Lytechinus pictus: one gene and its partner. The protein of the gene in region 2 purifies or fractionates together with the protein of the main gene of each other region. This does not show direct contact. Links are inferred from orthologs where the notes say so. Each region holds a gene or a part of one and is shown on either strand. Other genes may lie near its edges.

The links. The genes of interacting proteins can lie anywhere in the genome.
Region 1: the proteins of splicing factor ESS-2 homolog (region 2) and protein FRA10AC1 homolog purify together in Homo sapiens (co-immunoprecipitation; 3 studies listed by BioGRID and IntAct, counting the BioPlex papers as one, with this or other methods). This does not show direct contact. The link is inferred for Lytechinus pictus from reciprocal best matches to the Homo sapiens genes ESS2 and FRA10AC1.

The regions. Positions count from the first base shown.
Region 1 is NC_087256.1:20,271,132-20,278,130, forward strand, and holds the start of protein FRA10AC1 homolog, read left to right. Parts: upstream 1-3,973; 5' UTR 3,974-4,024; coding exon 4,025-4,042; intron 4,043-6,266; coding exon 6,267-6,331; intron 6,332-6,999. UniProt on the Homo sapiens protein: May be involved in pre-mRNA splicing.
Region 2 is NC_087246.1:35,359,812-35,367,278, forward strand, and holds the start of splicing factor ESS-2 homolog, read right to left. Parts: upstream 3,002-7,467; 5' UTR 2,901-3,001; intron 1,668-2,900; 5' UTR 1,578-1,667; coding exon 1,461-1,577; intron 300-1,460; coding exon 119-299; intron 1-118. Other genes in the region: uncharacterized protein LOC129272812, read right to left, coding at 6,825-7,467. UniProt on the Homo sapiens protein: May be involved in pre-mRNA splicing.

The DNA.
Region 1 (6,999 bases), on a different chromosome or scaffold from region 2:
ATTTTTTAATGTTTGTACCTCTTAGGTATACCTTCCTCTCAACTTTGCAAATTTTGGTGAAAATGACATGAATTTTGAATAAAGTGCAGCATTTATTGTACTTTTGTAGTTTGTTATTGAAATTTCACATTTTTGAGATTGGGTTTTTGTTATCTTTTACACCATTTCTAAGAACTGACAGTGCTGTTAGACTTAAAATTGCAAACAAATAGCACTATAAATAGATTATCCCTCCTAACGATACAATTATTAACTCTCTTGCGAAATTTGATGACTTTTTCATGTATTTTGACTGAGTAATAAAGATTTAAATTCATTGTAGTAATCTTGCGAGGTCTAAAAATGCCAAATTATTTTGAATGCGCAATTCTTAAGAACATCAATTTGGGTGAACTTTGAAGCTCTATAGCAAAAAATCAAGCACATGGACCTATGTTAATTTTTGCATATTTCAAATATTAAGGTTCTAAGGTATCTATGTGCAAAGTTTGGTGAAAATGGCATGGATTTCACTTTAACTGTGGAACGTCCTTAAGGACCAAATTTTTTATTTTTTTTTCCAATTTCAAGCCCATGCATCTCTATTAAAGTTATCATTGTTTTATCAATTGATTGTTCAAATGTGATTGTTTGAAAGCTGAAATTCCAAACAACATTATTTTTTGTGACTATGAGGCCTAAAACAAATGGGTTTCTGACTCTGTCCAAAAATTTACTCTGTAAAATTCTGCATTTTCATGCATACATATAATTGGACACTCCTTAATTACGTGTTGCCCATATTAAAAAGAACACTTGAAAATATATATTCAATGAACTTAATTATGTTCACTTTCCACACATCCATTCTATCCAAAATGTTCTCTCCATAAAACTAAGCAATAGGCAGAACATGTAATTAAATGATAAATGGGTGAACTTTATGCCTCTCAATTTAAAATAAAAAAATCATTTCGATTTTAGGAACTACTACATGTAAAATGAGGCAATTATTTCAAAATTTAAAATGGAAAAATCCTCCACATGTACCTTCATTAGTGTGTAATTGTAATTAACAGCTTTCCAGAATTTCATGGATTTTTTGTTTTTTCATTTCCTGAACTGAACCTTTCCTGGAAAAAAAATGTCCCTGAATTTCCTGAGGCTGAACTACCCAATGTTGAGAAAATTGACCTGACAAATAGATGACTCGACATTATCATTATTCCGACAGGAAGCAGTTCAACAGCCCTGTGCCTGCATAGACTGTTACAGCAAAATAGGCAACATCTCTGACAGACTCCACATATATTGCATCTACAACATACTTCAACACATTCACAGGTTACATCAAAATTGTCTAGTTCTAGATCTATCCCATCCCTTGGCCCTTGGTATTATTGCCTTGAATAAAACTTTTAAAAGGCTGCCTTGATTGAACTCTCTCATTCTCTGTATTTTTCTCCTTTTATTAAATTCCAGACTATTAAATGGTTGTTCCTCTTTCTCTTTGCCTCTTTCTTCTTCATGCATTCACTACCAATATAATATGACTCAGAGCATAACAATAATTAGTATGAAAAGCTTACATGAACTACTACTAACGTTACATGAAGAGCATAAGTTACGTTATAACAAACATCCATCTTATCTACGGTAGATGAAGAACGACAAGTGCTGCCTTGACGCCAGACAGCGCATGCAGGCAGTTTCATCGCACTGCACAGGCGAAGCAACACAGCCAACAGCAGCCAGGCACTCGTCTCAATCACACTCGCAGTCAAAATCACAGACGCCATGGCGCTTGATCAGCTAAAGCCTAAATTACAATTTATAACTCATAATGAAACTCAAAAAAGGGTTACATTTAACTGATAACTCAAAAATGACTCACCGTCTTCCAAATCTGTTTCCGAACAAAGTGTAAAATCAATCTGTGGGCAGCGAAACGAGGGTGTTGTTTGTGTACAGCAGGGAAATCGTATGGGGGGGGAAACGTTATGGTATCCTCGAAGTTCGAACAAAACACTTCGTTTTGGTGGAATTTCGTTTTAACCTAAATTTGAATTAATCTCTATTTCTCATAGGTTCTGTCAGTCTAATTTAGATATAAAATTAAATCAATGATTATAAACCGATTATACAATACGTCATTAATGTGATACTAGCTCTTGATTTACTAATCAAATATTGTCCAAGCAAAAGCCAATTTCACCCAATTCAATGATCTAATTGTTGACAATATAGAGTCCGTTCATCTTCGACTTTTAAATAAGATCATCTCAAGAGGAGCGGAACGGATTTGAAAGTGGGGGGAGTGGAGGGGGCTGACCATACAAAAAATCATATTCAGATAGTCATTTGTACGTTTTTGTACAAGCCCCCGATGCCCACCCCCGTTTTCGCGGCCCCTCTTATGATTCTTCATGAACTAACTTTATACCGGGACTTAATACAAAATGAAACAATATAAATCTAAATAAACTAATTAACAAAGTATTGTAAGTGTAAAAAAAAAAAAAAAAAATATAGGAAGATTTATCACTACACAAATTATAAAGAAACAGGTATGTAAAACCGTGATGAATTGGGAGGGGGGTAATTGAGAATAAAAACTTAAAACAACTGCTACGATACAGGCCGGGGAGATGTGCTCTGTGTAAATGTATGGCGTTTGGTGTCATTGGACAGTGATGAATAAATCATGAAGAGGAAACTTACAAAGAATTTGCATGAGGATTAAACGTTCAAAAGAATTACAAATTTTCTAATTTCATAATTTTTGAGGATCCTGCAGACTGAACAAGCGTTGCTTTTTTAATGCAGGTTCCCTTATAATTATTTCACCATAATTCATTTTTAATTGTCTTTGATTTTCAAATCGCTTTTAATTGATTTAGATGAATGGTGCCATGTCCGATTTCTGATTCGTACACCGTGTTAGTTCTTCTGATTATTGTTTTGTATTATGTTCATAATTATGTGAAGTATGCCTAGGTAAAATAAAGTCAATTATCAAATATGTTTATTTTCACTTGCGATTTTAGACTTAAATGTTTTGCATTGATAATAAATGTAGTGCTATTTCTATCTTCTTTTTTTTTTTGGGGGGGGGGGGCTTACCTTACTTCTCCCTCCCCCCAGAAAAAAAATGTGTTAATGACACCCATCCTTCATACACTCTTATTTAAATGCTTGGCTAAATTCATTTTTTTTTTGGCGAAAAAACTACAGGAAGAGATGGGTCTCGATGCAAGAAATTTCCTGTCTCAAGCAAAGTGCGGAAACCCCTCGTTGTGATATGTTTATATTTTTTTGAACTTCCTTTATGATTCAGAACTTTAATAAAAAGGGGGGAAAATGAGGCGAAAGGCAATATCGTTAGATACCCAGCACAATGCCAAGGACGCACGGCATATGAGATGGAGAAAAAGTCTCAATTGCTTTGGTGTTTATTCTTTTGGGGAAAAACATAAGAAACTCCCACTTGGCCACATGCAAAGCTAAACCTTTCTTCCTTTTTTTCCTTCACCTTTGATCCTCTTCCCCAGCCTGAGATTCCTTTTTTTTTTCTTCATGGGTGGGGTGGGGGCAACCGCCTCTCGCTATGCACCTGCCCTGAACATCGATCCCTGAATTATACCGTACCAGTTTATAAGTTCTTTTAGGACTTGAATGATGTTTATGTATGACGAAATGCGCTGGTAGAAACATGAACTAATGCATTTTTTTGCCATTAAAAAAAACCTCAGGTACGCGGAGGACCGTCAAAATATTTGAGTTCAATAAAGCATTTAATAGCAAAAATGTATAAACTGTCAATTTTTTATTTAATTGACGATTACGTGAAGCTATAAGAAGCAGATATTTCTGATTTCCGAGTACATTGGACAATGACATGTATATGTTTTGGCAATTGGACGGCGAGATATATGTCGATTCGCTTGCTCTATTTATTTGCTTTATAAAGATACAGTACGGTACGAAATTACGTAATCGACAATAACTGTTGGTGAAGTGCACTGAGCTGAGCTGAGCCTGAGCAATGGGGGATTTTAGGAAGGTAAAACAGTCGATTCTTGCATCTTTTAGGCAACTTTTGGCTGCCCATCTGTTATGTATAAAATGATTGAGGAAGAGAGACTGTATATTCCGCGCAATTTAAAAAATGTTTTCTTTTCCCTTCCAAATATGAATATGAATTAATGATGCTGGTCGACGTCGACGAAGCGAACTACGCGCATGCCCCAGACACTCGCTTTCATGTTTGTTGAGCCTAATGTCACAAGTCTGAGTGAGTTGAGCACAGTCACAGATGCAGATGAAAAATGTAGCCAGTTCGTGCTTTTATTTGTGAGAACTGCAAGTAAAAACTCTGGTATTTTTTATTTACCAAAAAAGAAAATGATCAAAAATAATGGGCAAGTTCACCCTGAAAAAGTGAAATGAAACTGAGTGAAATCTGAATTCTGATTCTGAATCACTCTGAATTGTAAATTATAAATATAAGTAACTAACATAATCACAACCTATCATGCCTATGCACGTTAAAACCAATTATACACTAACGTTATTCGTCAAAGAGTGGTTTTCACCCGGTATATTGCACCTGCCCAGGAGGGCCCTGCATCGTATACATCCAGATCCAGAACTTGGACTCTAAAGCATGAAAAGACTAAATCTAGAAAAGACTAGAAATCTTTGTCAAAGTGGAACTGTAGCTGGGAGTGTTAGTGTTGAAGTGACCACTAGATCTACCAGAAAAATAAAAAGGCTCAACTTTAACTTTTGAAGCCAAGGTCAAACTTTGACTTTGTCATTGAACTTTGAGGAAAATCTGTCAAATATTAAGGAGGTTATTAGAATTCGAAGTTTTTTATTGATATTGATGCCGTTATGACGTTAGAAGCTGCACCATATCGGATATTAGTAAAATGCGTAAATTTCAAATAATCATGATGACCATTTTATTTTCAGAAACAAGTGTAAAATAATTTATCTGTTGATATTCTGATGATGGCAAGAAGGGCCAAGCCGGGCTTCATCACTCTTTTATTAAATGAACAAGGTTATGATATATAACCTTGTTCTCTGTTACTATTCCCTGTGTGGTGAAATAAGGTTGGCAATGTTTGGCTTGTTTTCTCTTGTTTTGGGGGACAAATGCTTGATTTTTTTTACACTGTCAGTTTCCATTAGAGCTATTCATCATGTAACTTGGTTCCTGAGTAAATTGAAGTCTTTTTTTTTTCTGAATTGAAAATAGAGATTGAAAAATAAAAATTTTACTTTCCATCAATAAAGGGCCTGCACAAAAATATACCAAAAATTCAAGTTTTTGAGCGCTCCAGTGAATACAAAAATGATCCCCACATTACTAATGAAAAAGTGACATTTTAATCAATTTTTTAAATGTGTGTTGTATACTCAATAGATCTACATTTAGATTCCCCCACAGGCAGGGTGGTAGCAGTGAACAAGTGGGCCTCATTAACTCAAGAGTAAACATGAATTATTTATTTTTATTCCACAAATTAATTCACTTGATAATGTTCTTTATAATTAAGAGTAGGGTAAGTTTGCTAAACATCTCATAAAAATTTGAAGAAAAAAAATATTATTTTCTCGTAAAAAACCTACATGTAGTCAATTTCAGATTGAACAAAAAAAATAGTGCCACATGTCTGCGCATCCATTCACTTTTCACACGATTCAGAGAATGTGAGACCGTCACATTTAATTCCTGAAAATCAATGTTTTTCCACCATTTTTATATGGATTTTTAAAATCATTATCTGTCTGTGTATTGCAGGTGTAAAGTTTGTGGTCATTGCATGTCTTCTACTCTTCTTTTATTAGAATCGTGCAGATATGTGCAGACAAGGGGATGTTACCAAACAAAAACCATTTTCATTTTTTTAAAGAAAATGACATTTCATTGATTTTTTTTACTGCACAATTTATGTGGAAGGTGCTCGCATATCATGAAGTCACAAATCGAAATATTCAAATTCTAATTACTTTTTTATTCTTTGATACATTTTCCTCAAACCTTCACCAATATTCATTTTTCTGCTATTTTTACAATAAACTTTTTGTCAGGGAACTTCCCCAATCAATCTCAGGAAGAAATATAACAAACGAATCAGAATTTTGTTGATTCATTACAGCACTATCACTTACCGGTACTTGGATACACATATTGGATAGTAAATGTCAAAAATTTTCCCATATTATATCAAAGTTTTCTCTTTCTTTTTTCTTTGTAATTCCTCATTTTTATTCAGAGTCATGCAGGAGGGGGATATGGATCTGAATTTGAATATGACAGTGAAACTGAAAGAAGAAAAAGGTAAGAACTAAATGCAGATTATACTAAAACAGTAAAAATAAATAGAAAAATATTCAGTGTCTCTTCTATAGATATTATTGTTTTGTATGTCTATCTTTGCCCCCCCCCCCACACCTGATTTTATAATTACTAACTATCAATTGAAATCTGATACCAATAGTTTCATATGACTGATCATGGAACTCTCTTATTAAGGTCGATAGTCTCATAATGATAAGCAAGACTGGTTTGAAATGTGGTAAATTGATATCCAGGGACTCAAGTTAAAGGGGAGTGAGAGTGATCACTCGCTACCGCTCTCCTTAATCCATTTTTGAGAGAGCGATTTATCACTCGCCTCAGCAATTGCCTATAACATGAGTGTTAGTCAATGATCAACTGTTAGAGTCAACCTTAAAAACCTCATTCTCTGTCAAGGTTTTGTAAATAACAATTATATTGTAAGCAATAACACACTTGCAAAAATTATTAAATAGTTCAATGAGATAAATACTGCATATATCTATATCTGATTGTTTGTCTCCATTGGTTGTGGGTTGTAACTGAGTGTACATTCCTCAATCCATTTTGAAATCGGAAAAGAGCTTTTTGTAGTGCTCCCTTAATTGTCCCCTTTAAAGTTTTAGGAGAGCTTTTTATTGCTCCCCTCATAATTATAAAACTGAGTC
Region 2 (7,467 bases):
ATCATCATCACCACCATCACAACCACCACCACCATCATCATCATCACCACCACCATCATCATCATCATCATCATCACCATCACCACCATCATCATCCTCATCCTCATCATCATCATACCTTGCATGGGAGTTATCGTAGATGTTCCAGGTCTTGATGTTCTGCAGGTGGAGGCATACTTGATGGCTAGCTCTCTCATCTTCTCAAGATCATTCCTCTGCATGGCTTCCATGTATTCATGCTGAGCCTTCAACTTCTTCAAGTCAGGAAAGAAGTCACGCTGGATGATTTTTTCCAGGTCCTACAGGGAGATGGAAAGCAAGGACTTGATAATAAAAATCACAAAATTACACTAGCACGTGTATCATATCCTGCGTTGCCATGTTAGATGACTCAGACTAACATTAAGACAATATGTGCATCAACTGTGATAAGTCATCTTTTTATGGTCTAATGCACAAGTGTCGTTGTCCTCCATCATGGCCGCTTATGGGAACGATCTTTAAAGTCACAAAAGCTTAGCAACATTTTGTCATCACAGCTCTGATATCATATCATTCTGCTGCATTTCATTTTTCTATAAATTGTAGAATGAATGACGGACTAGAATGAATGACTATCAAGAATTTCAATGAAATACATGTAGGTATTGAATAGCTGATTGAAATGGTGGAAATCATATCCAAATTTAATCTAATAAATGTGAAGTTATTACTCATGAAAATGTTCTAATAGAAAAGTAAAAGGTCAACAAAAATCAAGTATTGTAGTTATTGTAGTAATTGAACAAGTATGTACTAGTTCCATGCTATATCTTCTTCAAATCTGATGGCCCCCAGAAGCTCAATCCTTGAAGCAGTTGATAAATATTAATTTCCTGATGATTCAACAAAAATTATAAATTACGGTGTGCATTTAAAAAAACAAAAAGGATGTAATCAAAATTTAGGGTGATTATTAACAATTACAATTTGTTTTTCCTGGAATATGAAAGACTTAATAATTGATATCAATGTTAAACAACAGGTACAAATCCAACTTTTCCAGTTTTAACAAGTATCATAAGGCAGAAATGAAACTGTTACTGATTAAACGGAGTGGTTTCTTTGCTACTTGACATGCTCACTGTTCATAAACGTTTTTTTAATGAATGCTGAAATTTTCACTTCTCCTGTTAAACTGACCAGTTTCCATACACTTCACCTATTTTATCGAAACTTGGAGAAGAAAATGCGTCAGTGGTATGAGAATGGTGTCAATGAATATAAAAAAGATGAGGAGTTGCTCTTTCATATTATCGTAAATTCATATTGTAATAGTTCATCATCTTTTAATACTGCCTTCCATAAACCTTCATTTTGTTATTCACTTTATATCTCATGTACACGGAATTAAAGAAAGATGCATCTATAAACGCTGTAAAACCCATTAAAGAGTACTAGAACTGGACAGGATTACTCACACTAACAAACACCTCTTCATCAAGTACTTTTCTTTTGTCTGGCTTCTTTTCTTGTTCCCATGCTGGTTTGGAAGTCAGAGGAACCATGGCTTTCTCATCTGATTTTACCAGAGCCATCTCTACTTTGTCGGGGCAGGACTCTCCAGCAAAGCCAGCCTCAGATCATAGATCACCTTGTTAACTAAGTACTCTGAATTACTTCTCAACCTGCAACAAAACAAAAATACTGATATTAGACAGCAGGGAAGCACACAGAAAGTATATTCTTCTTTACAGAATTTAGACCAAATTGAAAGCACACAGCTTGATCATCAATAATGATGCATCTCATGCTAGGGTACCAGGCCATGCCTCCAAGCAATGACCGTGTAACATAGGGATTCTTAATAAAGCAGTACATGTTAAGTTATGTATAACTTTAAGAACCCAAATATTCAACCGTCCTGGGTGAGAAAACAGACGAGGGCTCACAAACTTTGAATGTCAAATGACTCCATGCAAATCAGCTCAACTAAAAAACAGGTGAAAATTCAATGAATGAAACTGAAGCAATTGAAATCAACTCTCAGATATTTTCTGTTTTGCAAAATAGTTTGTTGTTAGAACACAGGTTTACTGTAATGAGATGCATCAATTGCTGAATTGTGAATATACAATCTGTAACTTAAAGATACCATTTATTTTATTTACTACATTTATCTATTTATTCATTTATATATTGTTTTATTTATTTACATGTATTAACTTATTTACCAGTAGGCCTATATAGTTTTCATTAAAGAAAAAAATTGCAGGACATCATGACCGAGTTTCACTTTAATTTCCTGATTTCTTTCTTTTGTTCTTTTTTTTTTTTTTGGGGGGGGGCTCGGCCTGGGGGAGGGGCAACTATATTACTGTACACATGTGTGACAAAAAAATGTGTAAAAGGGTACTTTTTGCACATCAGGCAGGTAATGCATCAAAAAGGCCAAAATCTGACAAAAAGGGTTGTGAGGTAAAGCACATAGGCCTAGGCTATATAACATTATTCATTAACAAGTATAATTTGTAAAAGTAGATATACAGTTGAGCGATATCTCGTTCTTACGTAGAATGGTTCTACGAAAGACCCTTTCATGCAACAGGCCCCTGGCTTCTTTGAGAGTAAGCCTGCGTTCGTAAATAATTTTTACTCTCAGACTCAGTCTCAAGAAGCCGCCTGGCTACGGCCGCCGGGTTGAAATCGGCCCTGCGGAAGAGACCTGCACCAATTTCAGCGAGTGGGACTGAAGTAAATAAAATTAAACTTGTTAAAATTAAACTGTAAAAGGTTAAGCAGGTAGGATTACAGGAACGCTAAGTCAAAATTTTACTCATCGTATGGTTCCCAGGTACCTTATTATTATAAAATTAACTCTTTAAAAGACAGAAATCGCATAATGATGATAAATAACTTACCTTTAATAGCAGGCTTTTCGTGGTGTACCGCTTTTTGTTTGTTCCCGATCGCTTCTTGAACGTTTTTTCTGCACCTGCGCCCTCTAACGGTGCGCCGCGTTAACGTTATGTTTGCGCCGTGCGCCTGCGACCTGCGAGCTGCTGCAATCCAAGGCCAAAAAAAAATTGATGCAGAGGTTTGAGGTTCAACTCCCGGTAACATCTTTCGGATAATGACGTTAAAGGTCGGTCCAAGATGTACATAACCATATCGGATTGATACACGTCTGAGAAAAAAAAAAAAAACACACACACACGCACACTTAGAGGTAGATAAATAAGCTTATTTTGTCCACCTATATAAAATTATCTTTCACCACATCCATTATTTTTCCTCGACCCTGGGGGATTTTAGTTATACCCGTGTGAGTAAAAAAAAAAAAAAAAAATTGACACCTCACGAATCCCTATTTAAGGAAGAAATATGACATGAGCACATATTAATCATAATCTGTGGCCGGAAAGAGCATCTTCTCCCAAATAATAATTACATGATACTATATTTAAGTGATATGTCTTCACTGTTGGATAATTAGTAGGTATTCTTTGCAGTGATGTACATTTTTACTTGCTCCCAAGTAAGACATGGCTCCAAATGGTCTCCAATTAATGAACCCAGATGTCAATGGTGTTTCAATCCTACAAGGTTTGCATTGAAACACCTTTTCAGTAATTAACATTATAATTGTTTAATAAACACTTTGGTATCCGAGTCGATTCTCAAGTTAATTTCATTGAAAAGGGGTTTGCAAATTATGTTTATAACTCATGCAGGATTACAACATTGACATCTGGATTCATTCATTGCAGCTGTGAATTACTTTGACGTAAATCAAATTTTACATCACAGTAAAAAAAAAACCCATGACTGTAATATCCAAGCGTTAACACATACCTGATAAATATGGTATATATATATATAAAATGAGGCCAACTCAAAAGATGACGCAGGACACCATCCTTAGCTTTAGCTTTCGTCTTTATTAAGACTTCGTCAGAAGCGTCTGAAAAATACTCACACCTCAAGAGCGTTTGGTACAAGTAAACTTAATATATAACTATTTGTTCATGCAATATTTTTTCCTTAAATCGAGGGTTTGTGAGGTGTCCAGTTCAGTTTTTTTTACTCACATGGTACATTGGAGGACTATAGGCTATGCCATGAAAGATGCACATGTATGGTCAAAAATATTAGAGGGGGCCATATGTGGCTTATTGGGTAAGATTTATTAAAAGTTGCGAGCGAAGCGAGCAAGCCGTATAATAATTTGATCAATCTCATTGCTTTCAAGAGATTTTATTGACAAATTTGACTTTGCCCAACTATCTGTTCCTGAGTGGAATAAACTCCCTCATCAAATAGTAGGCCTAAATGCAAGTTCGCTTGACAGCTTCCCAACTCTCCTGCAAAACCACTTTGAAAATAGACTCCTCCTCATAACGTGCATGCATCCTTAAATTTCACCTTCGAGAGACTATGCTGCAGATAGAGCCCTTTGAATATTATTGCAGAAGAAGACTCTCGTGCTCTAAATAGGATAGGATATCCATTCCAGGGGAGGCTTTCATCAACATTTTTGTCTGACAAGTTGTCAGATGTGAAACCTTTCCTTCATTCTGATTGGTCAAATCACCGTTACTATTAACTGTCCGATAAAACAGGCCTCGGATAAAAAGTCCGTCATTTCATGACATGCTCACCAGGAGGGCCGTAGGATTCGGGAAGGGAAAGGGACGAAGTGGAAGGGACGTAATAGGCTATACAGCCCCCCCCCCCCCCCCGATTAAAAGAAAGTAGACGATTTTGGAAAAATTATGATATACTAGTATTGTATAGGGCCTGACGTCTCTATTTTTTCGCTGCACACTTGCCTCGCGAATCGGCATCTTCGTGCATGCATCATTGAGTCAACACCAGTTTACAGTGTAGGTACCAAGATTGTACGGAAATTACCCCCCCCCCCAAAAAAAAAAAAAAAAAAAAACGAATAGAACCATATTCAAGCTTGTAAGTCGGCAACAGAGCCACTGGCATGATCATTTGCGCCCCAGAAACGAAGGAGGGGCAGGGTCATCATGATTCCACAAAATGTGTATTAGTGTGCATGGGATTAACTTGTGCCTGTAGGCTCTCAAATGCGGGATCACGCATACGAGCGTTTATTGATAGTGGAGGTAGTTACCCCCCCCCCCACCTCCATCCCCCCAAAAAAATGCAGAAAATCTTTGAATTCACCAGGGTTGTGTACCGAAACAAAGAGTACTCTCGAAAAGGCTTAGCAGTCATTTCCCTTCCTCACTGTCAAGGTATCATTTGGGAAAAATACATATCTCCAGCCCCCTTCCCCAACGTACCCCAGCCAGGGAATTCTGCGTATTTGGCGCCCAATTTGCCACAAAATATTGTGGCAAAGCACCCGGCCCCAATAGGTGGGTCCACCTTTGGATGTTTGTTTCCGACGCGCCCACTTCAGTGAATTATATACCCTCGAACAGTACAGACGACGATGCATGTGTTTCATACGGGATGGGGGATGTGTGAGAGAGAGAGAGGGGGGGGGGGACTATTTCACTGAGCCAATATTTAATAGAAATCGGCGAGACAAAGGTGTAGCAATACAACACTTTGGCATTGAAAATGTATATTTCTCTCTTTTATTTTCACAAACGCTATTGGTAGATCAAGGACCAATTTCATAAAAATTTGTTAGAACAACAAAGTACAATTTCTATATTAACAAGTTGGTTATTATCCAATCAAATTTACTGGTTTCAGTAGCTTTAAACTGATATTGTAAATTTGTTATAATACTAGTGTTATAAAACGGGCTCCTGACCCTTGAATTGTCGGCAATAAACATATATGGATAAATAAGTATAGTAATCATGATTACAGTTATTACAACATATGCTGACTACGCACATCCCAACCATATCGAACGAAATATAAATCATGACACTGGGATATTATCCCCTCCCGCATTTCCATAGAATAATACTTTTTTTCTAATTCGAGTAAAATAAATCAATTGTATGTGCACATATTACTTATATCAAGCAATATGGTATATACGAGTCAGTTTCGAACACAATAATAGTTATGTTTGTGATCAAACTGACGAGATACATCTCTAGATCAATGATGTTTCTCCGTAGCTCATTGACCTGTCTTCAAAAGAGCCAGGTATACTTAAAAGTTCAAACTAATCCATTGGACTTACTAATTTACTTTAATTTTATGTCACAATGTCTAGACATATATGTAAGACATTCTATGACATAGACATCTATAGGTAGCCTGAACTTTGGATGGACCTGGGTGGCAATTGGCCAACTGCTAAGTTTTGCCGAAGTCCCGACACTGGTCAACAGCCCATTGTTCCTAAAAGTCAGTCAGCCAAATCGATGAGTTCTAGAGAGGACGTAAAGTGTCCCAATTTCTTTGTGAACCAAATTCACTTGACCGTTTCAATAATGTGATCGAAAAATCATTACACATGTGTATGTTACTCAAAACTTACTATAGTCAGTAAATGACATTGGGCACAATATACCTTTAGGTGGTTTGTGAATGAGGCCTTGGTCACATTAATAATTTGTTGTTTTTTTCATCTAGTTTTCCAAGATTTCAGTGCAAGATCACTGCTTGCAAGAGGTTAAATTAGACGTTAATACAGCTATATCAAGTAGTACTCTTCGCCATTGCCAATTACACACATTTTCTCAATAAATTACTGTCAATAACACATGAAGATATGACTTGCATTAAGTTACTGATATTTCACCACACCCTTGATCATATAATGTAGTACTGATAATAGCATGTTGAATGAAATGATAGTACGAGTCAAGTGTTTATTTCAGTTTGCCTTGAGGAAGAGACGATCACTTATCTGCAACCGCAACCGCCAAACTGTCAATTTCTTTCTCTACTCCCCTGTCAAGTTTATTATAGTCATTAATTATAGCCTCCATAAGACTTTGATCACCATCGGTATCATCATCTCCACAATGTCTTCCATTCCCTAATGTCACCTTCAGATATCCATCACTTGGCATATCACCCGAGCTGGTGTTGTTTGAGACGGCCAACCGCGGTAAAAGTTTATTGTATTCATTTGCATTAACATCTTCCGAGTCATGCTTGCGGATGGCAGACCGATCGAGTTTGTCGTAGTCGGCACTCTCCTCGACGGAACCCTTCGTATGCGTGGCAAGATTTGGTTTAGCAGCGATTGTTGGTTTCCGGTTTACCTTGATGCCTGTCTCTTTATTAGGAGGTTTACCATCTGGTTGTTGGGTAAGACGTAAAGATGCAGGAGCTGTGGAGCTTCCTCGTTTCGATCCTCCAAACTTAAAGTAATACGGATCCTCGTCATCCCCCGTGTCTTTACTAGAAGTCTCAGGATTTATGTTTGAATTCACATTCTTTCCCACCATGTTACCAACTTCGACCAGATCATACGCTTGATCAGGATCGGTTGTCGTCGATGTAGGATCCAGTCCAGGTCGAAGACCGGTATTCCCC